Linked DNA regions of Coturnix japonica. The protein of the gene in region 5 interacts with the protein of the main gene of each other region in a pairwise test. Links are inferred from orthologs where the notes say so. Each region holds a gene or a part of one and is shown on either strand. Other genes may lie near its edges.

Region 1 (3,500 bases), on a different chromosome or scaffold from region 5:
CTCCCGTGTGGCTGGGTCGCTGCTGTAGATGGCCGGCACATTGTAGCCCAGCAGACCTGGGTCGATGGCACCCAGCGGCACGTAGAAAGGGTGGTTGCGGTTGCTGGGGGACATGACGTGGGGCCGGGCATATTCGCTGAGTGTGCGCAGGGCCGGGGTGTCGGGGCCCAGGTAGGGGGGCACAGTTGCCACAGCGCTGCCCTGCTCAAAGGAAGGGCGGTGGGGGACGGGCCCCAGGGAGGAGCACTCCACCGGCCGGCCCTCCTGGGCCATCTTCTGCAAGAGAGCAAAGGAATGGCATCAGGATACCTGCGGCCCACCACCAATGTCAGTCTCCAGCATCCTCTGGACTTACCACGCTCCTCTCCAGCTCTCGCTCCTTCTCCCGCTCCCGCTCCTTCTCTCGCTCCCGTTCCCGTTCTCGTTCCTTCTCCTCCCGAGCCTTCTGCTCAGCCTCCCGACGCACCTTCTCCACCAGGTCTGCCCTCTTCTTGGCCAGCTTGGAGCCATCAAGGGGCACAAAGTACAAGTCTGTGCGGGAGCAGGAGTTGAAGCCACGGTCCAGGTGCTTGTTGAATCTGAGGGCATCAAATACAGGGTGTCAGAGCAGAAGGAATGGGGACAGGACAGAGTGGGGATTTCCCTGCTCCTACCTGGCCGACTGGCTGGCGTGGCTTGGCACATCCACCACCTTGGGTGGTGGTGAGGGGCTGCGAGCAGGTGGCACAGGGCTCTCTGGGGGCTCATACTCCTCTGATGGCTCCTGCTTGATCTGGGCAGCGCTGAGAGGCAGTGGTGGGGCTGGGGTGGCTAAGCTCCCTGGCAGTGGTGGGGCAGGTGGGGTGGGTGAGGCGGCCTTGTAGGCACTGGCTACAGGGGAGGATGCTACCCGGTAGCCTGGGGGGGTTGCAGCCCGGAAAGGGGCAGCCGAGGAAGCTGGGGGAGAGCTTGGTTTGTAGGGAGCTGGGGGCTGGAAGGTGGGGATGGGGGAGGCCGCACATTTCCCATATGGGGCCACAGCTGAGGGGGGCATTGGGGGCGAGACGGTCTTGTAGGGGGCCGCAGATGGGGAGGCCATGGTGGTGATGACAGTAGAGACGGTGGTGGCTGCAGAGGTGACTGGAGGGCCAGCCCCGTGGGCTGGGGAGGGGGGTGGCGGCGGGGGGAAGGTGTAGGTGGCAGGACTCTGCCCTGGGGGATGAGCACATATGGAAGGGTAGCTTCCCTGGGAAGAGGTGGAGGAGGAGGAGGAAGAGGAAGAGGAGGAGGAACAGGAGGAGGAGGAGGAAGGGGCTGTAGCAGCTGAGGGAGCCTGGCTGTAAGTGGCCTGGCTGTGGGGGGGGTAGAGGCGCAACCCATATGTGGCATGAGATGGGTGATGGCTGTTGGACTCCAGGGCATGGGGATAACCCCCAGGGGGCTGTGGGGGGGGCGCTGCTACAGCTGGGGAGACCCCCCCACCAGTGCTGTGGCCATGGTGGTGCTGCTGGGGTGGTTGCTGGTGATGAGGAGACTGACCAGGGAAGGAGGCTGGGAGATGGGAGCTGGAATTGCCCAGGGGGCGGTTGTAGGGAGGAGGGGCCTGGCTCCATACAGGCTGTGAGGGTAGGGAGGGCTGGGTGTACTTGGGGGGCTGGCTGGACACCGAAAGGCCGCTGGGCGGGGGGAAGGAGTGCCCATAGGAGGCAGTGTAACTGGGCAGGGGCTGGGTGGGGGAGGGCTGTGGGTACTGAGCAGAAGTGCTCGAGGGTGGCAGCTGCGGAGGTGCATAGGGGTAGCGTGAGGGGGCCAGGGGCTGTGCCTTGTCCTGGCCCATCCCGTGGGGTGATGCCAAGTGCCCGCTCAAGGCCTGCCCCGCCATCCCTGGGGAACTGGAGGAGGCTGCCACGTTGTTCAGTGGGCGTAGGGCCGGTGGGGGTGGCAGGTTGGCTGAGACGTGCGGGAAGGAAGGCGCGGAGGCTGGGGGGGCAGGCGGTGGGTTGGCCGGGGAGGTCTTCTGAGGGGGCAGCCCCCCAACCACCGATGCCAGTGAGATGGGAGTGGTGGGTGGTGGATTGTGCTTCGCGCCGAGGGTCTGCTCGCGACTCCCCACTGCTGAAAGGCCCCCTGCCCCACCAGCAATTTTGGAACCAACTTGAACCACGTTGGCCGTAGGATAGAGAGGAGCATGGGTGGAAGTGGAAGAAGAGGAGGAGGAAGAAGAGCAGGGGGCAGAAGTGGTGGCAACGGCAGAAGAAGAGGAGGCAGGTGTCTGTGGGGCTGGAGCCTGGAAAATGCGGGAGGCCTGGCCCTCCAGCTGGGAGTGGTAGCCACCAGCCGTGGGGCCTTGGGGGTGGGTCTCGCCTGGGAGACTGAAGCCAGGCTCAGTTGGACGGGACAAGCTGTCGGAAGTGGGGGCGACTGGAGGGCTCTGGGGGAAAAGCGGAGGGTGGTGGTAAGAAAGGGATGGGCCCTGGGACAGCACAGAGGAGGAGTCGGAGTCATTCTCCACACTGCCAGGGCTGTAGACGCTGGGTGAGGTGCTCCTGTTATCCTGGTCGATGTCCCGTGGGTCGCTGCTCATCTCATCATTGAAGCTGTGGCCATCGAGGCTGTCAACGTCAGAAGGGGATGGAGGACAGGGTAATTCCTGAAGTAGTGAAAGGAAGGAGAAGTTATGTGACCTCCCAGATCACGCGTGACACTTTTCAATCTCACCTTCCTCTGCTATCCCTAGCATTAGGAAAGCACACTGAGGGAAGGAGGCTTCATTTGGCAGTTCTCTTGCTGCCCTTTGGAATAGCAGCTCAGGTGCTCTTCGGTACTTTATCACACACTTGGAAATGAGATGATGATGGGCATCTCATGTTCAGAAACACAGTAACCACTACAGATGAGGCTGAAACAAGGCACCTACAAGGTCCCGGCACCTGCACTGGTAAAGGGCTGCTGGCCAAGATATGAGCCAGTGCTACCACCAGATGGCACAGCAAGGTGGGGAGGGAGGTAGTGCTGCCCACACAGCCCCCAAACCCACAGTTCTTCCTCATGTAGGGCTTTCCTTGACACCCTGCTCAGCAAGAGACCTGCTTCTTAGACCTCCGGGCCCTGCTCTGAGCGCATCCTTCCTGCCTTACTCCTTACCTTTTGGGGTTCACTCTGTGTTTGCCATTGCTCTCTTGACCTCCCCCCCCAGCTCCGTGGTAATTAATGTGGTCAGTGGTTAAGTTAATGTGGGCAACTAACAATCGAGCCTCAGAGCTTACAAGAGCAGTTCAGCTGATAAAAAGATCAGTGCTGAGCTGAGCAGAGTCCACATGGGGAAATTATGTAGGTGTAACTACAGGTGTCACTTGGGACCTGCCTGCAGAAGAGCTGTAGAGCACAGTCTGATGTGGCAGAGATATCAAGCAAAAAGAATCCCAAGCTAGGCACATGTGAGCAGCACAGGTAGGGTCCAGAATGTACCAGTAACCATAATGGTGAGAACTCACCTCAGTTTTAGTCTTTTTAGGAGCACT
Region 2 (4,290 bases), on a different chromosome or scaffold from region 5:
TGCCCATCTGATGGACACTGCTACGCAGAACAGCCCAATCCACAGCCCTTCTGCAGGAACATCTTCCTGTGTCAGAGTCCAACAACACAGGGACTCAGAAGTGACCTTCTAGTTTGGTGATACAGCTCAGGATCTGCCTTCAGCCCCCTTCTCCACTGCCAGATTTCCCAGCTTTCCAGCTGAGAAGTCAAACCATGTACCTCATTTCAGGCTCTGCAGAAAGGAGAGTTATGTACCTGGGTACTTCTAGAGCACGAACTGACAGCAGTATATTTTGCCTGCAGATTTGTAGTTCAAAGGACTGATTTGAAAGTCAAGTCATCATCGCATAAACCTGGACAGCCAAATAACAGAGCAGAGAACACGGCACTGAAATCTGCTCCAGAAAGGGCTTTCAGTTTCTTTTCTCTCCGTGACCTGGGAGAGACAGCTGTTATTTACCGTTACACTTCTGCCCACAAGAAGCATCGCTGAGCAATAGGCATCAGGGCTGAAATAACCCACATGGCTCTGGATGCAGTAGAACAGTGAGGAAAGTGCTCCAGCAGCCCTGAGCAGCATCAGGGTTGTTCCAGCCAACAAACAGGGCTGCCCATGCTCTGAGAGCAACTTCTTTCCCTCCCACCTGCCCCAAATTAACTCCACACCCAGCTGTCCCAGTGCCAGCTTCCTGTTAGATTCATTATTCTTTGTACACAGGTATTTGATGGTTTACCCAGCAAGTGAGGCACAGCAATTAGGGACATGGACTCCCATTAGCGATATCCCTCGAGGCCCAGAAGTTCTCAGAGGAAGACCTCCATCCTGGCACGGCCATGGGGTGAGTGTGCCCCACTGACGTGGCCCCAGAGGGTCCACATGGGTCACGAAAGGTGAGTCACCATTTGTGACGTTGCTACATGGCCAGCAAGGCCAATTTGTTACTGAACAGCCATTACTGCTGTCAGAGGGCTGGCAAGGAACCAGCGTAGGTGGGAGCATTTATGATCCTAGAAGGTGTGTCTCCATTAAGCTTCCCTATGACCCAAGACTTCCAGCATGTTTGACGAGGCAGAGCGAGCTTTGTTCGCTTGCACTGACCATCCTTTGATAGGGGCAATTTCCAAGAGCCATAAAACAAGGTACCGTGTGAAGTAATCGTCTACAGGCCTGTTTGTGTTTGCTACGTCAGAGCAGTCCAGGAAATAGAAAGCACCATACCTGGGTGCTGTGAGCATGACCCTGCAAAGGGGAAGCACCGCACGCCTTCCCCAGAGAGCTGCTTGTCAGTCCCGGTCACAGGAGCTGTGGGTGAACACAGCACAGAACACAAGCTGGGGAAGCCACCTCCCCTCAGACCCCAACAGAACCACAGGATCATAGAAAAAGGGTTGAAAGGGACCACAATGATCATCCAGATCCAACCCCCTGCTGTGTGCAGGTCACCAACCAGCAGCCCAGGCTGCCCAGAGCCACATCCAGCCTGGCCTTGAATGCCTGCAGGGATGGGGCATCCACAGCCTCCTTGGGCAACCTGTTCCAGTGTGTCACCACCCTCTGGGTGAAAAACTCCCTCCTGATATCCAACCTAAACCCTCCCCTGTCTCAATTTAAAACCATTCCCCCTTGTCCTGTGACTATCAGCCCCACATGCCCAGAAGGCACAGTGTGCCAGAGGCTGACTGACCCCATCACCATCATGTCCAGCTGCCTGCTGCTGTACCCACAGGAGGATGCTCCAACCACCACTCCTCCCATTCTCCTGAAGGTGAGACCAGCCCAGCAGGGAGGGCGCACAGCAAGGAGCCCAGGCACCATGTCTCCACGTGCACTGCTTATCTGGGCCAGTACAGGCACCAGCCGTGGCAAACTGCCACCCCAGCGGTGAAGCCAACACACAGCGAGTGACCTCAGCCCAAAACGGACACTAGAGAAGCTTCTAACAGGGGGAGGCACACCTCGACTCTTGCCTCAATGCATGTGCCGTCTCTCAGAGCCCAGCTCAGGCTCTGCTCGCTACCAAAGCACAGCTGAGCCCACCCAGCAGGGCTGGAGGTCAGCGTGCCCGGCTGCCAATGCCGGCGGTGCAAGGAGCCGCTGGGAGCAGCCGGCGAGGAGACCCACGCGCTTTGCTCGGGAGGGAGTTAAACACCAGACAAGCCTCCACTTGTCCGAGATGCTTCTTTTCCTCCCGAGGAAGCTCCCAAAATCCGCCGTGAGCACTTGGGAGAGGTGCTAAAGAACAGGGGAACCGCGGCGGGGCAGCACGGCCACCTCCCAGCGACGGGAGGCTGCGTTTTAAGCTCTTTGGTTATCATTACCCCCACAGTAACATGTCTCAGGGGCAGAAACGAACAGGAAAACAAAATAACCAGTTCATATTTCCCCCATTACAACACGTGTAACCGCTGCAGACTTCTCCGCAACAAGGTGGCCAACAGCCCACCCCAGGGGCAGGTCCAGACCCCCCTCTATAATGCAACAGGGTGCGGGATGCTCCGGACCAGCTCGGCCCAAAGGCTGCCAGCCCCGAGCCCCGACCACGCAGCGCCGCCGCCCGGGGAGCCCCGTCCCCATCCCCGGGCAGGCCCCGAGCTCACCTCGGTACTGCAGCGAGCCCGACAGCCGCACGGTGACGGTGCCGGCCAGCGGCTCTCCGGGGCTGTAAATGACGCGGCTCTCTCCCAGGCGGATCTCAAACAGCTGCACCTTCCCCATGGCCGCTCCAGCCCCGCTCCGCTCCGCTGCTACCTGCCCTGCCGCTCCGCTCCGTGCTGCTCCGCCGCCCTGCCCCGTCGGGCCGCCCCGCCTCCGCCCGCCCCGGTCCGTGCCGTAGGGTCGGGGCGGGCCCTGAGGGAAGGGGCGGGCGGAGAGGAACGGAGAGGAGGGGGAATGTGGGCGGGGGATGCGGCGGTGGGACACAGGTTGGATGGAGGGATGCGGTTGTGGGGTCGGGATGCGGTTATGGGGTTGGGATGTGAGGGAATTACACGGTTATGGGAGCACAGTGTGAAGGAAAGACGCGATTATGAGGCCAAGCTGGTAGGGAAAGACACGACTATGGGTCCAGATAGAGCTGCAGGGGGGGAACCTAAGACACAGCTATGGGATTGGGCTGTGGGGAAAGGAGCCACTTATGGGGCCAGGCAGCATTGCAGACCCAGTTACGGGTTCAGGCTATGAGGATAAAACCCAACTATAGGTTCAGGATGTGAAGAAAGGACCCAACTGCGGGGTCAGGCTGTGAGGGATGGAGCCAGGTGCCCAGCCCAGGCCCAGCTCCATCTCGCCTCTAATCTGATCTCCCTGTAATTCTCCCTGCCCAGCTGTCTCTCTTCTCCCCCCCTCCTTATTTATTATATCCCCAGTTAGTTCAAGTGTCCAGTGGGAAGCACACAGGCACACAGCATGGGACCAGGGCTGGGAGACAAGCCCAGGGAGCTGCGGGTCAAGCAGCAGACCAGCACCCCACATTGCCCTCTGTATGTCCCCCTTGGTGCTACTTCTGCTGCATGATCCCGTTTCAAAAACTCTGTTAAAATAAAATATAATAATAACAATAAAATAATAAATCACCTTTTCTTTATTCCACAGCAAACACCAAACACGGTGCTGGGGAAAGGCACCTCCCAGAGAGGCCTCCCGGCTGATGACAAGCAGGTTGTGTACACGGGCGGAATGAATAAGCGTAACAAGGGCTGTTTAGCTGTTTATCCGCAGAGCACACACCCAGCAGGACGGCCGGCCCTGCAGTGACACCAGCCCGAGCTGCAGGAGCCTCCCAGGTCCCCTTATGGGGGGTAAAGCCCCACCGAAGGGGTTTGAGCGCTGCATGGGAATGGTTTGTGTATTCTCAGCACACAGGGCTCCTGCTGAGAAGCTCTTCCAGGCCGTTACTCCTCTGCTGCTTAAAAGCTACTTTTTCTTTCCAGCCTGTGCATCATCACAGGAGACGAACACCCTGATGGGCTCGTGCCAACAATTTATGTAGCTCATCTCCTCCTGCGGCGCTCACCCTCAGATGCTTCCATACACCGCTCTCCTTGCGCTGCCCTTTTAGCTTTTGTTTTGCCACTTTTCTCTCCTGTCCTTCTGTAAGATGAACCCGCATCCTCTGTCATCAGCCCCCGCAGCTCAGCTCCCTCCCAGTCTCTCCAGGTGACATTGCCAGCATAGAAACAACCAACCAACACAAGCAGGTGAGGGGCAGCAGAATCACCCTGTGCTACATCAGGCTTTGCTGAACCCATTGCCTCCTCATGGAATACATCTGAAGACCCAGAGCTCTGCACTGCCACACTCCTGTTGCAC
Region 3 (4,292 bases), on a different chromosome or scaffold from region 5:
CATCCAGACGTACGTTTCGAGCCATTGAATCCAGAAGGTTTTTAGTGGCTCCCGTCTCAGCAAAACTACCAGGGGCAGAAATAAGGAAGGCATGAAGGTTCTCAGGTGTCCGATCGCTCAGCACAGCCAAGTACAGCCTCACCACCTCCTGATTAACGTAGCCAGGAGCCAGCCTGGCATAGAAGACACGAAGGTTTTGGTAGTGAGGCACATTGCTCTCGCCCACCATTAGCTGTCCAGACAGCATCAAACCTTCTCGTGAGCGATCAAGGATCTCAAAATAAAGCAGCAGTTTCTCAAGGCTAGTGCAGCACGGCACAACGCCGTATGATGGAGTGTAAAGGGTTTGCTTCAACTCTGACACACGGCTGAGGGTGGCTTTGCACTCACTGCTGAGCTGACTGGCATCAAAGCCCGGGTTCACGTCTATGGCCAGGGACCGCAGGTGCTGCAGCATGGACAGCATCTTGGAGAGACGCAGAGAGGTGATACGGCACCCGGACAAGTTCAGCTTGACCAGGTTCTTGCACCGTGTTACGTGGTCAGTAGTGGAGCTGGGCAGCCAGTAGCACCCAGCCATGTTCAGCTGGTAAATCTCTTTCCCGATATCCCTCATCAGTTGCTTCACTTTGTCTTTGTTCACCTGAACCCAAACAAAACCAGATTCAATGAGACATAAGGCAGTAGCATGCAATGACTCAGTTTCCCATCTGAAGATGGGTACAGCACTGGTTAGCTCTCACCTTTCATAGCTCATCTAAGGGCCTCGGATCACTAACACATGCCTCATTAAAGCACGGCTTTGTCAGCCAAGCTTTGGACTCTAAGATTAGAATTCCTTCAGTTTCTTAGGCTGTGCAGTTCTGCAGTACCAACTGAGGGGCTAAATCTGTCCTCCATCCCGTCAGTTGCTGAACATCATCCACCTTCCAACAGCTAAACTACTTCAGGAATAACTGAAACCAGCTGAACCAGCCCATAGCAGCACAAGCTAAAAGAATCCTTTCATTCCCCTTCATCCTCTTTCTTCTGGAAACAAATAAGAGAGGCTTCTCTTTGACTCCAGCCTGGGGATGCAGCCTTCATATTATGCTTCACCCCTAAGCTTTATTTTTGTTACAAAAAGTGCACATTTACTGAATGAGCTGACTGCGTGTCTGACAAATTCATTTGTACAACACAGTAAATACACCTGGGGAACGTTACAGCTTCATACAACCACAAAAGGCAGCTGCAAATGGAAAGTGGCATTTACGTTCATTTTAGCTTCCATAGACCCAGTGAAGTCACATAAAATACCACCAGTGAAAACTAAGGAAGCACAGAGCTGTTTTAATAAAGCATTCCACAAGTCAGGTGTCTTCTCATAGCTAGCAGAAGCAGCAAGATATTCATCCCACCTTATAGTCCTTCTGAAGTAAAACTGTGTGGGTCAGACTCTTGTCGAGGCAAAGTGTTGCGAGCTTCCTGCAGGTCTTCCTGACATTCAGGACCAGGTCTGTGCAAGGGACGTAACTTAGGATGTGCAGAAGGATCTCATCTGAGAACTCCATCAAATTGATCCCGTTACTTTCCTCCTCGTTCTCCCCACTCACAGGATCCTAAAAGAAATAAGAAGAGGGGGGGGAAAGAAAAGAGGGGGGAAGACAAAGAAAAGCAACCAGCTCAAAGACTGCAGCAAAACTTATGAGAAAAGAGATACTGTGAGCATCAGAGGGATTTGTGGAGTGAGACAGGGGAAAAACAGAACACGAACCACCTGCCTTCGCCCTTAAGAGACAACAGGGAGGTACTGCAAAGCTTCACACAAAGCCATGGCAGCTTCAGCACATGAATAAAGATCTTTATGCTCATTTCCCTTTGCAATTGGAAGCTGTGGCCCTCAGTGCAGCAGGCAGATCCTTTCCACGTTTTTCCTCTACGAGGAGCCCATCCCAATAACCTCACAAATTATGTAACCGTTTACATGCTAAAAAAAAACCCCTCTGCAGCCCAACATCACACACTGCCCACAGCCATCCACAGGGGGCTCACACTGCGGCCATGGGCATCAAGGGCTCCTCGGGATGGGTGCAGCCCCCCAGCAGCAATACACCCTATGATATAACCTCTGTTATACCCTCTGATATAACCTCTGATATACCCTCCGATATACCCTCCGATACAACTTCTGTTATACCCTCTGATATACCCTGTTATACCCTGATACCTCCTCTGATATAACTTCTGTTATACCCTGATATAACCTCTGTTATACCCTGTTATACCCTCTGATATCCCCTCTGTTATACCCTCTGATACACCCTCTGATACACCCTGTTATACCCCCTGCTCCAGTGCTAACCCTGGTGCACACAGTCCCCCATCCCACTCCCCATTACCAGCCGGGGGTTCTGGAGGCAGCTGGGCCTTCATCCATCTTTAACGGAGCCGAATCACGGCCCGTTAACGCCGTGCCACCCCCAAAGGAACGGGGCCCTCCCGCCCCACACAACCGACGGGGGTTCACCCCACCACAGGACCCGCTGGGCTGCACCCTCCGCCATCCCAGCCGCTCGCCCCGCCGGCTCCTCCCCGAGGGGTCGGTGTCCCCCATGCAGACCCGCACGGCCGCACATCTCACCTGTGCACAGCACGACATGGCGGCAGCCCCGGGGTCCCGCCGCTCCCGGCTCACTCCAGCCGCCCCCCGGCCCCGCTCCGTTCCGCCGCTCGGCTCTTCCGGCGCGGCCATGACCCGGCTTCCGCGCCTCGCTACACTTCCGCCGTCGCCATCTTGAGCGTGGCAGGGTGAAGCGGAAGTGATGGAGCGGCCGCTGAGCGACGCCATCATGAGAGCGGCGGCGCCGCCATGTTGGGGGTGGTGGCCTGTATTTGTGCTTCAAAGTCTGTGAACGAGATCTTAACCTCAGCCCTGAGGAGCAGGACGGCTTCATTCATTGCATCGATACTCGCTTTTCTGTCAAGTTTCGGTTAAACATTAGATAATGACACTCAGGGCTGCTTTGTTTGACATTAAGATGAATACCAACCTACCAGACTTGCAGTATGAAAGCAGAGACCAGGGTGGAGGAGACTTGCATTTCAATTGCAAATGTAAATAAAGCCATAAGCAGAGCCCACAAGCAGCATCAAAGCCCAGGGCTGGGTCAGCTGCAGCAGCCAGTGTGAGGGTTAGCCATGGTTCCCTGCCATCATGGGCTGCATGTGGACCAGGCTGCACTTACCAACCCCAAAGTAAAGCTGGAGCTCCTGTGAAATGGCATCAGTTCAGTGCTGGTCTGTCTCCAAGCAGACTTTGATCACAATATGACTCATAGAGCTTTCCTAGCCCAAAGAAGGCAAACTCACACCACACTGTCCAGGTCCAGGAGGGCAAACAAACAAATCTGCTGGTAGCATCAAGATATTGTGTTCTGTACAACAACTCTGAACAGTTCATGGCCGGGCAGCCCTGAGGATTTATTATTCTTTTTTCCTGGGAAACTCTTAAGTCATTTCTCTCCCACAGTTCTTCTTAACAGCTCATCTTTTTGTCAGTGTAACAAAGCTCAGTGGTCAGAACGCTTTGTGTGCTTGGGCACACTGCTATCTCTGCAGCTGTAAGTGGGTTTGGGTGCTTGATACGATTTAATACAGTAAGGCCTGCTAAAGTAGATTACAGATGGGTATAACAGAAGCCGGGGCAGGCTTGAGGTCAGCATTCCCTCTGCAGAGCACAACTTCAAAGAGCAGGGCTCCTCCTCCTCCAGCCAGCGTCTCATCCATGAACTGACACCAAGAAAAGCCCGTTTTCTGAACCCATCCCTTTGTGCCCTCAGAGGGGACTTCCACAAGGAAGCCAGATGTGTTTGAATGTCCTGGGACTCCTTGGGACATTTGCACGCTGCCAGTGCCCTCCAACAAGAGGATGGGATCCCCCCAACAGCCAGGGGCCATTTTTGGTCAGTGCTCCCTGACAAAGCTCGAGGCAGCCACACAAGGAGGCCCTTCAGGGGTAAATCCTGAGAGCCGCAGCCGTCTCCTTTGCCAAGGACATCACTAATTCCTGGCGGTGGCTTGATTCCGTAAGCAGCTCAGCGAGGTGACTTTCCAGGTCACCAGCTAATTGCAGGTGAAGTGCCAGCGACTGTCTCCAGCAGGAGCGAAAGTTGGGAGCTCTGAGGGAAGAAAAGGAATAAAACATGTTTGCTCAGCTCCATTCAGCTGAGCCAGTTCCCCCTGGGCAGTTAAAGGGAGGGGAGTAAAGGGCTGGGTGGTATACAACAGTCTGTGTCTGATCCCTGCCATCC
Region 4 (3,500 bases), on a different chromosome or scaffold from region 5:
AGCTGCTGTCTGAAAGAGTCGGCATTATAAGTTTTAGCTCAACCACAAGGGTTATTTCCAGAAATTCAGAAAGGAATAACAAAAAAGAGATGCATTCATGATGATGAAAAGCAGTTTGTTTAAGAAGCTATTACCTTCCTTTGTCATCTTTGCAATTGACAATGCTGGCATCGATGGCTCCGATGAGCATTGATGCACAGTTTTCATGATCGTTGATTCTGCCAAAGACACGTTAGAAAGATAAAAGCTCTACATATTTACTGCTATCCAGTATTCATTTACTTCATTTCCCATTAATAGTTCTTAGTGATTATTTATAATTCATCCCAATATACCTTTTGCCTTAATACTTTTAGTCACAATTCTGACCATTCACCCTGACTTCACTTAACCCAACTGCATCTATTGCTGTGGATTTCCACATGTAAAGCAAAGCTGATCCTTCAATTCCCTATGCACCAGATGAACTGAAACTACAGTACCAAACTAGGATTAGAACCTTAAAACCTTTAAATCCTTTGGTCTAAACAACAATCAGAGCTGAACTGAGAAAGCACTCGGTCATATATACCTACATATAGAGAGATTCACTCTAACGTTTAAGGTCTCAAAACACACGGCTCTTCCAAAACCCACTTTCAATATTTCCCTTGGATGTAACTCAGTACTCTCCTGGTTACTGGCAATTTGTCTTATTTCATAATGAAAATGAACAATATATGGTAACATAATGACATACAATATACGTCTAATATGGCTAAAAGACACACTTGTGTCATCTTAGCAGCAGTTCTGTCCTTTTAAATGTAAGTGCATCTTTCAGTTGCATGTGTTTTGAGGTAGGCTGGAGAATTAGTTATTATGAATTACATACTAGTTTGAAGTAAAATAAAAGCAGTGATTTGTAACGGTTTTTATTTCTCTCATACATGGTTTCTGTTTCATTATGTATGACACCTGGAAACTACCAACATCTCTTTTCTATCTTGCAACAAATGCGGACTGTAGAAAAGAAGTTAACACAATAACTCCCATCGTTACTTCTGGAATATATTAATTCTTCTAATAGTAGGAGGAGTTCATAACTCTGTCATTCTAATAGCCCAGGTCATGGCCTAAGAATGGAAGAGATATGAAATTCCACTCAGTGCCAAATAAAAGCCTGAAGTGATAAGAAAGGGAAAAGAAATTGGAAATGGAGTCGAAATAAAGCTATTTAATGATACATCAGCACTTCATCAGATAGCTCAGATGTATTCAACTTATGCCCAATGTTCCTTATTATGCAACTGCTTTTTCTCAGCAGAAGAACAAGCACCATTTTATGAACCATTTTTAAATGGTTTGCTCATGCAAATTACATAAAGACAGCTTTTTTTCTTGTATCACTACTTTGTCCAGGCGTAACCCATTGCAAAGCATCTGCATTGGTTACAGATTTCTACTTACACAGCACAGTGCAACGGAGAGAAGCTATTACCATAGAATTTGCGGAAAAATTTCTGCTCCAATAGTACCTCTATGCAGTTTTCATGACCTACAAGAGACAGAAATGTCGAGTGTTGCACAAAGCAGGGAATTGACTTATTTCATACCAGGCACAGAAGGATTATGCTTTAACACTTTAAGCACATTAAGGTTGAACATATTGTGAACTTTTATGTGACAGAATTATAAGTGACTGAGAACTTCTCTGTAAGTCACAAAGTCATTGGGAAGCATTGCTGGAAGTTCATTGGCTCCTGAACTGAAGGGTAAACATAGTGAAAACAAACCACAGAGGACAAGTAGGGAGAAATGATCCAACCCTTCATTTCAATCTTCCCAAAGTCTGTCTGCTTTGCTTTCATGCTTCCTCAAAACAGAGGCCGCATTTGAACCTGGCAACAATCCACGGGGATAAACTTACCATTGTAACAAGCCCAGTGCAGTGGTGTATAACCTTGATTATCCTTCAAACTGCAGTCTTCTTCTGAAAGTGCAATCTGCAGTAATTCACTCAGCCAAGTGGCGTGACCCCGAGCTGCTGCGAAGTGCAGAGGTGTTCTACCTCTAGCATCTCTACATAAAATAGATACTTCTTTCTCTAAAAGCATCTGAACGCACTCTTCATGCCCAGTCATAATCTGACAACAAAAAAATAAGTAAAGAGGCTGAAATAAATGCACACTTCTACCTGGGAAACATGGAATACAATTGATGACTGTAAGCATGAAAAAACCTGGATGAGATTCAGATGGCGGAGATGAAATCTCCATTTCTCCCATGGGTACCTGTGATAACTGCTAAACTGAAACATATTTGGCACTGTCTTCCAAAGGCACTGATTAGTAGTTTGTGGAAGAGACTTCTCTAAGCCAGACTCAAAAGCAAGGAGGAGTTTAAGATTAAGGAAATATATGAGCAAAGGGTGAGGCTACAAAACACGAATCCGGCTACTCTAGAAAGAATACAAATGTGCAACAAGAACTGAGGGGAAGATAAAAAGTATTATCAGAAGTATGAAAAGATGCTTTAACAGCTGGGCCTCTGTAACACATATAGTTTAGCTTTGGCACCTTTGTAATGTTCACGTATTGATGTCAAAACAGAACAGCAATTTTACACCATAGCGCTTATTACAAACCAGCATTGGACTCTAAGCTGAATTGCTCACTGCAATAATTACAGAGTTCTGAATAAATAAGATTGATTGCATCAGTTTCAAACTGGATAGGAAGATGGCGTCTAGAAAAGGTCAGATGTGCCTTGAACTTCACTGCTTCTGGATAAAAGTTTAGGGCTAACATTGTTATATTCTGCTACCCAATAAAAAGGATAATAACTGCTGGGCATCCTTTTAAATACACTGTTTTCAAAATTCATGAAGTTCTCAGTTATAGCAATGACTGCTATAGTAAATTGTCTCCACTAATTTTATCTAAGATCCAGTCTTTAATTAATTAATGTGAACAGTCAAAAGCAGAGCAGATTTATCCCAGTTTTTCCCTCACTGGCTGTTTTTGGTCATTTTTTCAATCATCAGCTATATCTCCTACATTAAACATCCCTACGTTTATGTGTTTATGAATGAACTGTGGTGACAAGAAAACAAATGCTTCGAATTTAGAAAAATGAAGTCACCCCTCGATGTAAAGCTGTGCATCCCAGGAGATCTGCTGCATCTACAGATGCTTCTTTTTCAAGTAATAAGGAAACAGCATCAATGTGTCCATATGCCACTGCAAGCATGAGCGGGGTTCTGGAAGGAAAAAAAGAAGTGAAAACAGTTGCATGAAGTTGCTTTTAAGATACCCAACAGCCAGATATCGTGACTGAAAAAGACAAACTCATCTGCGAGCAGTTTAGAGAGCAACATTGCTCCAGACTATTCTTTTCCTTTTAAAAACCTACTATGATTATCATCTCCACAAGTTTTACAATAACATCTCAGATTCAGGGTTCACCTTGAACAAACATTCTGTCTCACTTTATCAGCATCATATACCTGTATACACAGG
Region 5 (3,500 bases):
GTTCAGCATCCGCTTGTAGAAGGGCAGCGTGAAGCCGGTGTCAATGAACTTCCCGTGGTACAGAGCCTAAAGGGTGCGGAGATGGGGATCAGAGGGACCAGGATGGGCTCCTTGCAGACCACGGCTGGACCCACAGCACGGGGCTCGCAACCCCTTCCCCTCCCCACCATGAATTCCACTGCATCTCCATCTCCCGTCGCAGCTCTATTAAGAGCACTTGTTTAAACAGAGTTCTGCCGTGGCTTCCCTGAATCCCTGGCTTCCAGGAGCCCCAAGGCAAAGGCAGCCAAAAATAATGCAGACGCTTGTCTAGAACAGCCCAGCGGTGAGTAATAGTCTGGAGTTTTATTGGGATCCTGCAAGGCGTGGGGCAGGGCAGGGCGCAGCATTTTGGGCAGACCCTGCCCCATCTGGTACCACTGCAGCCCTTTGCCCACCAGGCCCTGGGGAGGGTGAGAACAACAGGAGGAGCCAGGCAGGGGCAGCTGGAAAACCTCACACTGCTGGGGCTAAAAACAGCCCCAGGGCTGCAGAGCTGATAGCACCGGGTGGCAGCCAATAGCCTGGAGGCACAGCCCCAGGAAACTGTGACCCCAGCCTCATGGCCAGCCCCAGCCCTGCAACACGTCACCTCATGCTGCTATGGCCACTCTTCCTCTGGGCACACACTGAGCAAGAAAGTGCTCAGAAAAGGTGACTATGCCAAGCAGGGCTCCCCGGCCCCGGGCTCTTACCATGGCGATGAAGCGTCCGATGAAACGGAAGTAGGTGAGGTGGTCAGGGTTGATGGAGGAGGCGGGGTTGATCTGCAGGCAGTAGTTGTTCTTGCCGGCATACTCGAAGAGGCAGTACATGGGGTTGAGCACCTCGTGGGACAGGAGGAAGAACCACTCCCTGGGCAAGAGGAAGGGAAAAGTGGTGAGCAGACATCAGCACCTGGGTCTGCTATGGGAGGCTTTGTCCCAGCAGTGGGGACAGCCCTGTGCCCATGAAACATGGCTGCACAGACAGTGCCCAGCTCCTTGGGGTGCAGGGCAGGCACTGAGCCCTGCTGAGAGTATTGTGCAGCCCAGGACCCAGCCGCAAAGTGCCTCTGAAGACATCAGTAAGGAAAAACCAGCCTGTCAAACACGTGCACATGTGCCTGTGCACACATGTACAGTGCCCACAAACACCAGCTATCCTTCTCCACAACCCTCTCCCCCCCCCCCCAGTTTCCCACTCAAAGCAGTGCAGAACAGGCGCAGCCCTCACTCTGCTCCCCCACCACTGGCAGTCCTCGGACGCAGAGGCAGCCCCGGCATCCCGTCCGTGGTTCTACCCTGTGGTAGAACAGCATGACGTAACCTACCATAGGGTAAAACCACTGGCAGGACACAGAGAGACACAGGCAGCAGGAGCCCTGCCCACAGCCAGCAGCAGCATCACTGGGAAGGAGGAGGTGGGGAGCACACTGCAGCACGGGTTCTGGGGCAGAAGAGGCAGTGCAAGCCCACCACTAAGCCTTACACCCAAGGCAGGATGGCCAGGGGACAACAGACAGTCCCTCCAGCTGGAGGCACAGCAGAGTGCCACATGGCACCATCCACTGGGTAGATGGTGGAAGCCAGCAGCACCACATTTGCCCTGGCACACACCGCCCGTCTCAAGAAGAAACACCAGTGCCTGTCCTGGAGGGAGAGGAGGCAGCTCAGCCCATCACAGCGCACTGAGGGCTGCTGGACCCCCAGCCCTCCCTGTACAAGGGATCAGGGAGTGCAATAATGCCTTCCCAGAACTCACACTGTTCTCACCTCCTCTCCCTGAGCAGGCACTGGAAGAGGGCCAGGAACCCTGAGCCCTGTTACCAGAAGGCTTCATGCCATGGGGGGCTCACCCAGCCCCACAGCAGACACGTGGCCCCACACTCACCTGGCAATGCCGCCATAGTCCAGGCCCTCCTCACCACGCATGATGATGTAGAGGCGGCGCCGCAGGTCGTAGGGCTTCATGTTCATGATCTACAGGGGGCAAGGAGCACATCACTGTGGGATGCTCAAAGGGGGACAGCCTTGTGCCACCCAGGGCTCTGCCAGCCCTACACCCCCTCACCTGCTGAAAGGAGTCCTCAAAGAGAGTCTGCCGGGAAACACTGATCTTCACATGGCTGGGCAAGGCATTTGACTGCAAGGCACAGACACGAGGCTGTATGGGCTGGCATGGCAGTCCCACATCACCAGCGCACCCATGAGCACCCCCAGCCCTGCAGGCTCAGCAGCCCTCAGCTGCACTACTCACGTGGCAGAGGAAGCGGAATTGGTGGTACTTCCAGCGAAAGCTCCGATCATAAGCACCTGGTGACCCACCCTGCTTGCTCCTGCAAAAGGTCCAGCAGGGGCTCAGGGCACGGCCCAGCATGTGCTGCCATGTCCACAGGTGGGAGCTGCCCCCCACTACATGCAGGGAGCTCTTCTCTACACAGTGCAAGGCCCTACACTCACCCACACCCAATGCTCAGTGCCTCTGCCACAAAGCCCACTTTGCCCACCCTGCACTGTGACCACGCAGGCAGATGAGCTGTGAGTGACCCCAGCCCAGCCCTAAGCACGTACCCAGACTCAAATCCTGGCCGTGGGTCCTTGAAGGTGGTGGTGCGTGTATTGTGGTCCACGAAGTAGCGCACGCCCTCGTTGGTGTATTTCATCTCCCAGCCAGGAGGCAGGGGTGGCTCCTGGATCATCCTGTAGGCAGAGATGGGGTCACCATGTTGCCACCTGAGGGGCGTCTCTCCCTGCTTTGTGTTGCTCTCCCTGGAGACTGCCTTGGATTTTGGCACCTCCAGCACCATGTTTTCCCTTCCGACTCCCCAGTCTATGTGGCTCAGCACCCTCACAACCACTTTTCAGTGCTTGGTGCCCCACCACAAGCATCACCCCCGCTCTTCCCATGGGCTCCTACCCCTGAGTGCGAGGGTCTTCCCACTGCGTGGTCCGCGTGTTGTGGTTCACGTAATACACCCGCGCGTTGTCCTGTCTCTTTTCTAGGAGGAAACAGAGGAAGAGCGATAGCTGGAGCGCAGCAGGCACCAGTGTCCCAGGCTCAGCCCTCCCCTCCCAGTGTTTGTCAGAACCCCCACCCCACCTGCTCTGCCACAGTGCATTTGGAAAAGGAAGAATCAAAAATGAAAATAATTACTTTAAAAATTACATTGTTTTTTCCATGTGCAGAAGCTGCAGTGCCTCTGGAGAAGGCTCAGTGTGCTGGGGACCCCAGGGGCACCCTGCTGGGGGCATGACCCCAAGGATGCTTTTTTGCAGCCCCGCTGCCTGCACACACACACACACACACACACAGCCCCCTCGCTGCTGAGCGCAGCCATAAAACGAACACACTGGTCACACCAGCAGCACTGCTGCCCACTGCTCTGCTTGCTGTGCCCCCATCACCACATGTGCCCCCAGCATAGTCCCACTCCATGCTGGGAGGGACGCTCTGCACGCACTCCCTGCCTCCTCCCTATC
Region 6 (3,500 bases), on a different chromosome or scaffold from region 5:
TTCAAAGCCAGACCTCTGTGGAACTCTCAAGAGGACAGGGCTGGACCCGGTAAGTATGATGCACAAATGTCGGGCATGGTCCATAAAACGCCTTTCAGGACAGCCTGCAGTATAAGCAAACAAAATTTATAGCTTTGAGCAACTACAGTTCATAAGCTTTGTCTATTACTTTTGTAATAGACCAAAGTTTATTCCAGCTGACAAGCCAAAAGTGGAAGTAGAGCAAAACAGACAACTTTCCAACAACGTGGGCAGGAGAGCTGACTCGAAGGAAACCTTGTAAAACACAGGTTGCCCAAAAATGGGCCAGAACCCACTTCACCTTGGTATAGGTGGAAGTGGGGGGACACCTCTTTCTTTTCGACCAGAGCCTCCTGAAAAAAGAAGAAAGTTTTCCATTATTCTTCGGTTCTTTTTATAGTGGGTGTTTACATCCAAGCCAGAAGATCTATTCATTACCTTGTCTAGCCATCTAGAAAATATCTTTCTAGACTTTCTGATTAGTTTACTAAACAACGCAAGAACTTCAAACAATGTAAAATTAAGTTTGTAACTACCATTATCTACAAATGCCTAGAAACTATTAGCATTTCAGTCCTTTACTGCCTTTTCAAAGCAGATCAGTCACTCTTACTATATAAACACATATGGTCTCAATGCTACTTGCAACACATGTACATTTTAATGAAAGCAGCAAGCTCTAGTAGTAATGTTTTGAAGCTCGTCCTGTATTTCCCAAAATGAAGATTGTCATTCAAAACTGATTTCTTTGACTCTCTTTGCGGGGTAATACGAATGAGAAGAAAGGTAAGAGACAAACAGAAGGGTCAGAGACTAACAGGAATTTCTGCTCCACACCAAAACCTCATAATTTGGAAACAAGACAGACAGAGAAACATGTGAGTGTACAGATGATTACAGGATAACTATGAGGACTGATTTGACCTATTGTGAAAGAACTGAATTAATCCTTGGGTGTACCAGGCCAAATGGCGCTAACTAATGGAATGCCTGAGACCTCAACTGGAACAGCATGTAACACTGATCCAAAAAGATGAAATCAGGCTGAAATGTATACAGCAGCAACATCAATGATCAGAGAAACAGAATTTAGCCTGGAAGAAGAGTGTAATACTTCCTGATATAATGAGCTCAGCAAACCAAAAGCTGAGAGGAGAGTATGACTTGTCTTAAAAAAAAATATAGCAGGGGCTCAACACACCAACAAGGAAGAAAACTAAAACTCAAGGACAATTTTGGCACACAAATAAATGAGTCATGCATAGATTTAGATGGGGAATGAGAAAGAAGTTCTAGAAGAGAGTTCCAAGAGAAGTAACAGGGACAAAACCAGACAAACAAAAATCAAAGATGAAGCTGGGATTTTGCAGCTCTGGCTGCCTGTAGCAGAATGGGGCTGAATGTTATGGCCAAAGCAGTATCTTACAATACAGGTCACAACTTAGGAACAAAACAATCCTCCTCCCATCCCACTCTGTAGTACAAGTTCAAAAGGGCTTGAACCTGTATTTTCTACATGGTGGAGGGGAAAAATGCACTTGGAGAAGTTCTGAAACCTCAGAAGCCAATCTCTTCCCCATCTACACTGGTTCTACAAAAGATATGCTTAAATTCCAGAACCAGAGGCGGAAGAAACTTACCTCGGTTTTCATTTCTTGCTAGTTTACTGGGGTAACTTCTATTCACAGGTACATATGGCTCTGGAGGTGGCAAATCAGATATAGGATGGAAAGAAAATCTACTTTCCCACTCATCTGAAAGAGCGACAAAAACACATAAAACAAAACAGAACACGATGTGTTTTACTTGTTGGTTGTGTGATACAGGTTCAGAAAAAATCAACTGATACTAATATCAAATTTCTTGCATGTCTTCTATTGCAAACTGCTGTGATAGCTGAATACTGAACCAGCATCCTACTAGGTTATTTGTTGGGATTCAGTTTTAATATGTTAATTCCCAGTGGTTACAACTAGAAACCAGCATGTAAAGGCACTGAAGGCTCTGAATCCTGCAAGCCATTTAGGCTTCAGCCTAGCATAATTAACCAAAAGATTTATCCATCCTTTGCAAAGAGACAACAACCCAAAAGAAAAGCATAATAAATCTTTAAAACTCAGCGATCTTAAACCTCACTTTTTCAATAACACCAGCAAGAAGAGCGAAACTTGACATCTTTGAATTCTGACAACCTCTTCTCTTTCTTTCAGCTTACAGTTTTTGAGTAATCATCTAACTTGTTCTGACTTACAAACAGCCTTAGTGTAGCTATGGATTGAATTCACATTGCAGCCAGTACAGTCCCCTTAGGACTTCTTCATGCACTTTAGCAAAGCTAAGTATGGAAAAGTGTTTCTTTTTCCTTTTTTTTTTGCTTTCTTCCTTTTCAGGCTATATTTCAAAGGAACATTTTAAAGCCTATACTGACAGTTTTGCAGTCCTGTTCTATCCTCTGCCCCACCCTTTTAGTCACGATAAGGCCAAGAGCAGCTACAAAACCTCTATGAGGGCAAGTAGCTGGGAGCACAGCTTACCGTCGCCCGAGTCCTGGAAGCCATTCCGGAGCGCTGATGAAGGTGGTGGGGGTGGTGGTGGAGCGCCTGTTCCCGGCCGGTCCGGGGGAAGTGGTGGCCGAGGCCCACCCCTGTGGTTCTCCAGCCCAGCCCGGGAAGGCAGCTGGGGAGCAGCAGGTAAAGCCCTCGAAGTGCTTCCATTCCTGCTGAGGGGAGGTGGTGGTGGCAGGGGGCCTGGAGAGAGAATAGAGACAAGCACAAAAATGCTGTTTGCCCCAAATTGCTCTGTGGTGTTACACCGTTGCCCATGTCCCATGGCCTCCCACTAATAGTGTGGACCACTTCGGGCCCTGGGAAGAGCAGACCCCAGTTCCACCTCCCTGCTCCCAGGGCTTGATGGGGAGCCTACAACCTGCAGAGGTCAGAGGAGCAGGAATATTCAAACACAAACACACCTCAGCACACGTATTCCTGCCCCCCTCAGCTGCAGCAGCTCTGCAGAGGTGCTGGCCCATGAAGCCAATATCAAACCACTCTAAATCACAATGGCCTCAATGAGCAGTTACTGCAGGAGCTCTGTGAACTGAGGAGCCAGGCCATACCTCACCAACTCCCAGCTTCACAGCGAAGCAGAAAAGCTCTGCAGGGCAACGTGAAGGCAGAGCCCACACAGGCTAGGAAAGTGATGCTCCCAGTGCAGCAGTAAATTGAGACCGGAGAGAAATCCACAGCTTGGACAGGAAAAGGCCATGCAGAGGGTGTGGAGGGCTGCACATGGCCAAAGGTCTCAGCACCTCTGCTTAGTGTAGTTGGGCAATTGACCATTATGTTCATTTTCTTAAATGCTTCCTTGTTCTGATGAAATCTAGTTACAGACACATACTGGAAAGCTTCCAGAGTGCTTTCTCTCCCTAAACCTTACTAAAACCCATCATCTACCTCAAACCATTGCAGAACAGTATTTAC
Region 7 (4,042 bases), on a different chromosome or scaffold from region 5:
ATTTGCTGGTTCCATCAAGAACACCAACCTTCGGTTGCGGTCACCATTTCTTGTACTGCTTTAAACCCCACCACGGGTTTGTGGTTTATTCGGGTATCATTACCATTAAACTAAAAAATAAATAAAAATTAAAAATGCTGACTCCAGCAAAATCGGAAGTTGGGAGAAAAACAGCCGAGATCACCTCCTACCCATAAGGGCTGGGATACCGACAGGTACCGCTATGGTTTGGGCACAACCGCTTAATGCCAGCGGCTGGAGGCACTAATGGAGGCACAAAGGGACATTTTAGGCTCCCACTGTGCTACAAAGATATGGTGTGGCAAAGAAACGGGCACACGGCAACCTGGGGTGGTGAAAGGAATCTTGAAGAACTGCTTAAAAATGCAACAGAACAGCGAGAAACAGGCGGAGATGCATTCACACAAATGCACCTCCAGCTCGCCGCGACTGAAGGAGAACCAGTTAAGCGCTGCTAAGGGGCGATGCGATGGCTGCGGGCGGCTTTCTCGTCCTTTTATTGTTATCCCGCAGGTTTTCGCCCCGCACACCGCCCCGGCCCCGTCCTGCCAGCTCAGCAGTCCCGCCGAGCCGGGCGGCCGCGGCGGAGCCGTGGTAAACAAGTGCTGAGCTGTCAATCAGCGGCCCGGCTGGAGCAGGAGAGGACCGGCCTAAACCGGCGCGAGCAGATCGCAGCCAGCCTTGCATATACATACAGTATACATTACACTCGCCGCAGTCGCTCGGCAGCTCCGCTCGCCGCCCAGGGGGGAGGAGGGAAAGCGGGGGCGGGGAGAGAGGAGGGAGAGGAGCCGCCCGCGTCCTGCTCGCCCCGCCGGCCGCCCCGCTACGTGCCGACACGCAGCGCTGGACCCTCCGGGGTGCTCGCGGACACCGCTGTGGGGTGGCGGTCGGGGTGCGGAGGACCAGAAGCTGAACCCGAACGGTGGGGAAAGCGCTGAGTCCCCCTACGGCCGCCCTGCCCCAACCCCGAGGCTGCCCGGACCCTCGGCCCCTCGTCCCCCCGCCGCAAGCCGGCTGCGGGCAGGGGGACCCGCGCCCTCACGGTGCCGGCCAATCAGCGGCTGGCATCGCCTTAGCAACAGGCCAACAAACCGCGGCCGGCCAATCGGAGGCGCGAGGGGGCGTGGCCTCGGCCGCCAGCTGCGGGGCGAGGCGTGAGGCACAGTCAGTCATTGAAACTCGGCCGCAGGGCCGCAGCGCGCCGGGCATCGCCCGGGTGGGGGCTGCTCGATCGGCATTGCGGAGCACCCCGCGATGTCCTTCGGGCTGAGCTATACGCATGGCCGCACGGGCACGGCCGGAGGCTGCGGTCACCTTCACGGACTTTGGTACGGGGGAATTGTTTGTGAGGAAGACAGCTCGGTGGGAGCTGGATGCATGCGATAGCGATGTTCAAATATAGCTGAGCTCTGACTCCCAAGTTCGGTAGTATCGATAGATGTTTAGGAAACGTCTAACAACAACGCAGCCTGCAGGGAAACTCATCCAAAAATCCCCAAAGAAAACGGGAATATTCCCTCAGTGCACCTCACAATGCAGTAGGTATGCAGCATGTTGAAGGAGAAAAAGGGGAGAAAAAAAAAGCCAAAAAAAAAAAAAAAAAAAGCGGCCCTGAATTACATAACCAGTTTTAACATTATTTTCCTGTGCTAGGAATTAAGTCATCGCCACCACCTGACGCGCGCAGCCAATCTGCAGCGCCGAGCGGGAGCACCCCCCCCCCCTCTGCCCAGGACCGGTCCCAAACAGGATTGAACCGCTTCTAACAAAGGGTGGAAACTTCGCAAAAACAAGCGCTGAGTCCGCCGGACCGCCGCGATGCGGGCGTGGGGAGGGCGACACGGGGCCCGGGGAGGGGGCTCCGGTGGGGGGGGAATAGAAAGGGGTACAGAAGGAAGGGCACGAGCGGACAGCGGGCTGAAATCCGAGCGTGTGTGCGGGAACGGCGGCCCAGTGCTGGAAACAGTCGCATCATCGGCCGCAGAGCTGCCGCCTGTCAGAGGGCCGAGCCCGGCGGAACGCGGCTCCCGGCTGACACGGGGCTCCCGCTCCTGGCCGGGTTGCGGTGCCCCACGCTGCCCCCTCCATCCCCCACCGCTCTCCGTCCCCGCGGCGCCCCGGCTGCTCTCGCAGGTGACACAAAACCGGTTATAAGCAGAAAATAACACCCCCCAAAAGCCGTGAGACCCCACCGCGCCGCGCGGCTCACCTCTCTCGTGGCCGATGAGGACGTCCTTGTGGTTGAAGTACTCCACCTCCTCCGTGTAGTTCTGCGTGTAGGCAGTGTTGGAACCGGCGTTCCTCGACTCGGTCCAGCGCACCTTGGCGTGCCCGCGAGCGTGGATTTTGAGCGATTTCACTCTGATCTCCCCCGTCACTTCTAAATTGACCCTTCCTGAGACCGTGTCCCCGCTGGAGTAGACGGGGACGTTGCTGTCATTGAGACAGTCAAAGCTTATTGTCAAACTCTTCACCTTCCCCAGCACCATGTTTTATAGCAAAGCGTAGAAAAAAATATAATCAAAAAAAAAAAAAAAAAAGAACTGACTGTAAGAAAGCGGAAAAAGAAAAAAAAAAAAAGCAAAAAAAAAAAGCCTTAAGCAAAAAGCGACCCTCGCCGCACACCGACCCTCGCCGACCTACAGCCCCAGCATGGGGAAGTGAGAGCCGGCGGGCTGGGGCGGCCCCGGCCCTGCCGCGGATGCCGGCGCTCCGCAGCGCTCAGAGCGCTCGGCTGCCCGGCGCTGCGCTCCGCTCCGCTCACAATGACGGTGCCGGAGCGCTGCCACCTCACTATAAGCGCTGTGACAAACAACCCCCCCTACACGAACTCTACACGCTCACGCATGCGCCGCAAGAGCGGTGCCGTCCCGCCCTCTGCCCGCCCCACTGCCCGCCCCCAGCTCCCGGAGGCATCGCGGGCCGCTTCTCGGAGCTCCCGGAGAGCTGCGTTGTAAAGCGTATTATGTATTTGCCCGCTGTCTGCGGTAAGAAGTCACCCTCGGCCCAGCACCTGGCTGGGGAGCTCTGTGCCTAACTTCAAACAGTCAGCTTTTACCGCTGCCCTTGTGCTGGGACCATCTGTCTGTGTGCACCACCGTGCGGCACGTGGGTGCATCGACGGGAACCTGCGGAGGGGCGGGGTGCCGGGCAGCCCTGCCGGTTCCACCCGGTTCTGCCTTCCTTGTCGCAAAGACTTGGGGAGATGCAGCTCTTCCCTTGTGTCTATTAACGCTGAAAGACCCCACTTTGGTTAACAGGCACCCACGTGGATTTATTCCTTTTGTACACATGTTGATAAGGAGGGGAGCTGCTTACAGTGATAAGGCACATTCTCCTTTATTTCCTGTATCTTTTTATCGTATGTACGCACATCACTCTAAAAGTAGTGCCTCCCATTTATTTCAGTTGCAACTACAACAGAGAGCACAGTAACACTATTTATAGAAGGAATTCTCAGGTGCAAAACACAGTCACCATCATTAGCTGTGCATTTTCAGCAGCCATGACCAACAGCCTGCACACCACGCTCCTAACAATCTGCATCAGCAGGGGTGACCCACTGTTGCTGTCACCACTGCTGAAATGCACCACCCAGCACCTCACTGTGCTCACATCCACTGTTTGGTGTCCATCAGCATTCAGCAAGTGTCAGTGAATGTCAGTGAGTGCCACTTCTGTGTGCAGGAATAAAGTGACACACCTTTGCTTCATTAACACTTTCATGTCAGACACCATTGTGTCAGACTGTCCCTCTGCTGCCATCTGTTGCGCAGCAATAAAGCATAACAGAATTTTGGTGGGAAAGTTCAGTTGCTGCTGCCAGACCACCAATATCCTTCTCTGATGTTGTGGGCCAACATAATAAAATAGGAAACACAGCTTTGGAGGCAGTCCTCATAATTCACTTTTCCCATTCTAGGCTTGTTGGTGAAGTTGCCGTTAAATCTGCAGAGCTTGTGGTCCCAGTTTGCCTCCCCTCTCCTTAAGACTGCTGTCTTTGGCCATACCATTTCTG

The links.
Region 1: the proteins of WWP2 (region 5) and ATN1 interact in a two-hybrid assay, tested with the Homo sapiens proteins (2 studies listed by BioGRID and IntAct). The link is inferred for Coturnix japonica from reciprocal best matches to the Homo sapiens genes WWP2 and ATN1.
Region 2: the proteins of WWP2 (region 5) and ARRDC1 interact in binary tests that used the Homo sapiens proteins (3 or more experiments, as listed by UniProt). The link is inferred for Coturnix japonica from reciprocal best matches to the Homo sapiens genes WWP2 and ARRDC1.
Region 3: the proteins of WWP2 (region 5) and FBXL18 interact in a two-hybrid assay, tested with the Homo sapiens proteins (3 studies listed by BioGRID and IntAct). The link is inferred for Coturnix japonica from reciprocal best matches to the Homo sapiens genes WWP2 and FBXL18.
Region 4: the proteins of WWP2 (region 5) and ANKRD44 interact in binary tests that used the Homo sapiens proteins (3 or more experiments, as listed by UniProt). The two-hybrid records come from large-scale screens. The link is inferred for Coturnix japonica from reciprocal best matches to the Homo sapiens genes WWP2 and ANKRD44.
Region 6: the proteins of WWP2 (region 5) and WIPF1 interact in binary tests that used the Homo sapiens proteins (3 or more experiments, as listed by UniProt). The two-hybrid records come from large-scale screens. The link is inferred for Coturnix japonica from reciprocal best matches to the Homo sapiens genes WWP2 and WIPF1.
Region 7: the proteins of WWP2 (region 5) and ARRDC3 interact in binary tests that used the Homo sapiens proteins (3 or more experiments, as listed by UniProt). The link is inferred for Coturnix japonica from reciprocal best matches to the Homo sapiens genes WWP2 and ARRDC3.

The regions. Positions count from the first base shown.
Region 1 is NC_029516.1:69,591,290-69,594,789, reverse strand, and holds part of ATN1 (atrophin-1), read right to left. Parts: coding exon 3,474-3,500; intron 2,630-3,473; coding exon 654-2,629; intron 579-653; coding exon 356-578; intron 277-355; coding exon 1-276. UniProt on the Homo sapiens protein: Transcriptional corepressor. Recruits NR2E1 to repress transcription. Promotes vascular smooth cell (VSMC) migration and orientation. Corepressor of MTG8 transcriptional repression.
Region 2 is NC_029532.1:1,142,514-1,146,803, reverse strand, and holds the start of ARRDC1 (arrestin domain-containing protein 1), read right to left. Parts: upstream 2,801-4,290; 5' UTR 2,698-2,800; coding exon 2,580-2,697; intron 762-2,579; exon of another isoform or gene 747-761; coding exon of another isoform or gene 716-746; intron 1-715. UniProt on the Homo sapiens protein: Functions as an adapter recruiting ubiquitin-protein ligases to their specific substrates. Through an ubiquitination-dependent mechanism plays for instance a role in the incorporation of SLC11A2 into extracellular vesicles.
Region 3 is NC_029529.1:4,224,774-4,229,065, forward strand, and holds the start of FBXL18 (F-box/LRR-repeat protein 18), read right to left. Parts: upstream 2,801-4,292; 5' UTR 2,735-2,800; coding exon 2,624-2,734; intron 2,541-2,623; exon of another isoform or gene 2,382-2,540; intron 1,602-2,381; coding exon 1,401-1,601; intron 644-1,400; coding exon 1-643. UniProt on the Homo sapiens protein: Substrate-recognition component of the SCF (SKP1-CUL1-F-box protein)-type E3 ubiquitin ligase complex.
Region 4 is NC_029522.1:128,324-131,823, reverse strand, and holds part of ANKRD44 (serine/threonine-protein phosphatase 6 regulatory ankyrin repeat subunit B), read right to left. Parts: intron 3,242-3,500; coding exon 3,124-3,241; intron 2,127-3,123; coding exon 1,910-2,126; intron 1,538-1,909; coding exon 1,450-1,537; intron 219-1,449; coding exon 135-218; intron 1-134. UniProt on the Homo sapiens protein: Putative regulatory subunit of protein phosphatase 6 (PP6) that may be involved in the recognition of phosphoprotein substrates.
Region 5 is NC_029526.1:17,007,385-17,010,884, reverse strand, and holds part of WWP2 (NEDD4-like E3 ubiquitin-protein ligase WWP2), read right to left. Parts: intron 3,020-3,500; coding exon 2,938-3,019; intron 2,721-2,937; coding exon 2,592-2,720; intron 2,357-2,591; coding exon 2,278-2,356; intron 2,164-2,277; coding exon 2,092-2,163; intron 2,001-2,091; coding exon 1,912-2,000; intron 895-1,911; coding exon 735-894; intron 67-734; coding exon 1-66. UniProt on the Homo sapiens protein: E3 ubiquitin-protein ligase which accepts ubiquitin from an E2 ubiquitin-conjugating enzyme in the form of a thioester and then directly transfers the ubiquitin to targeted substrates.
Region 6 is NC_029522.1:15,026,708-15,030,207, reverse strand, and holds part of WIPF1 (WAS/WASL-interacting protein family member 1), read right to left. Parts: intron 2,769-3,500; coding exon 2,556-2,768; intron 1,776-2,555; coding exon 1,662-1,775; intron 375-1,661; coding exon 319-374; 3' UTR 1-318. UniProt on the Homo sapiens protein: Plays a role in the reorganization of the actin cytoskeleton. Contributes with NCK1 and GRB2 in the recruitment and activation of WASL.
Region 7 is NC_029547.1:52,949,491-52,953,532, reverse strand, and holds the start of ARRDC3 (arrestin domain-containing protein 3), read right to left. Parts: upstream 2,801-4,042; 5' UTR 2,514-2,800; coding exon 2,234-2,513; intron 570-2,233; exon of another isoform or gene 48-569; coding exon of another isoform or gene 29-47; intron 1-28. UniProt on the Homo sapiens protein: Adapter protein that plays a role in regulating cell-surface expression of adrenergic receptors and probably also other G protein-coupled receptors.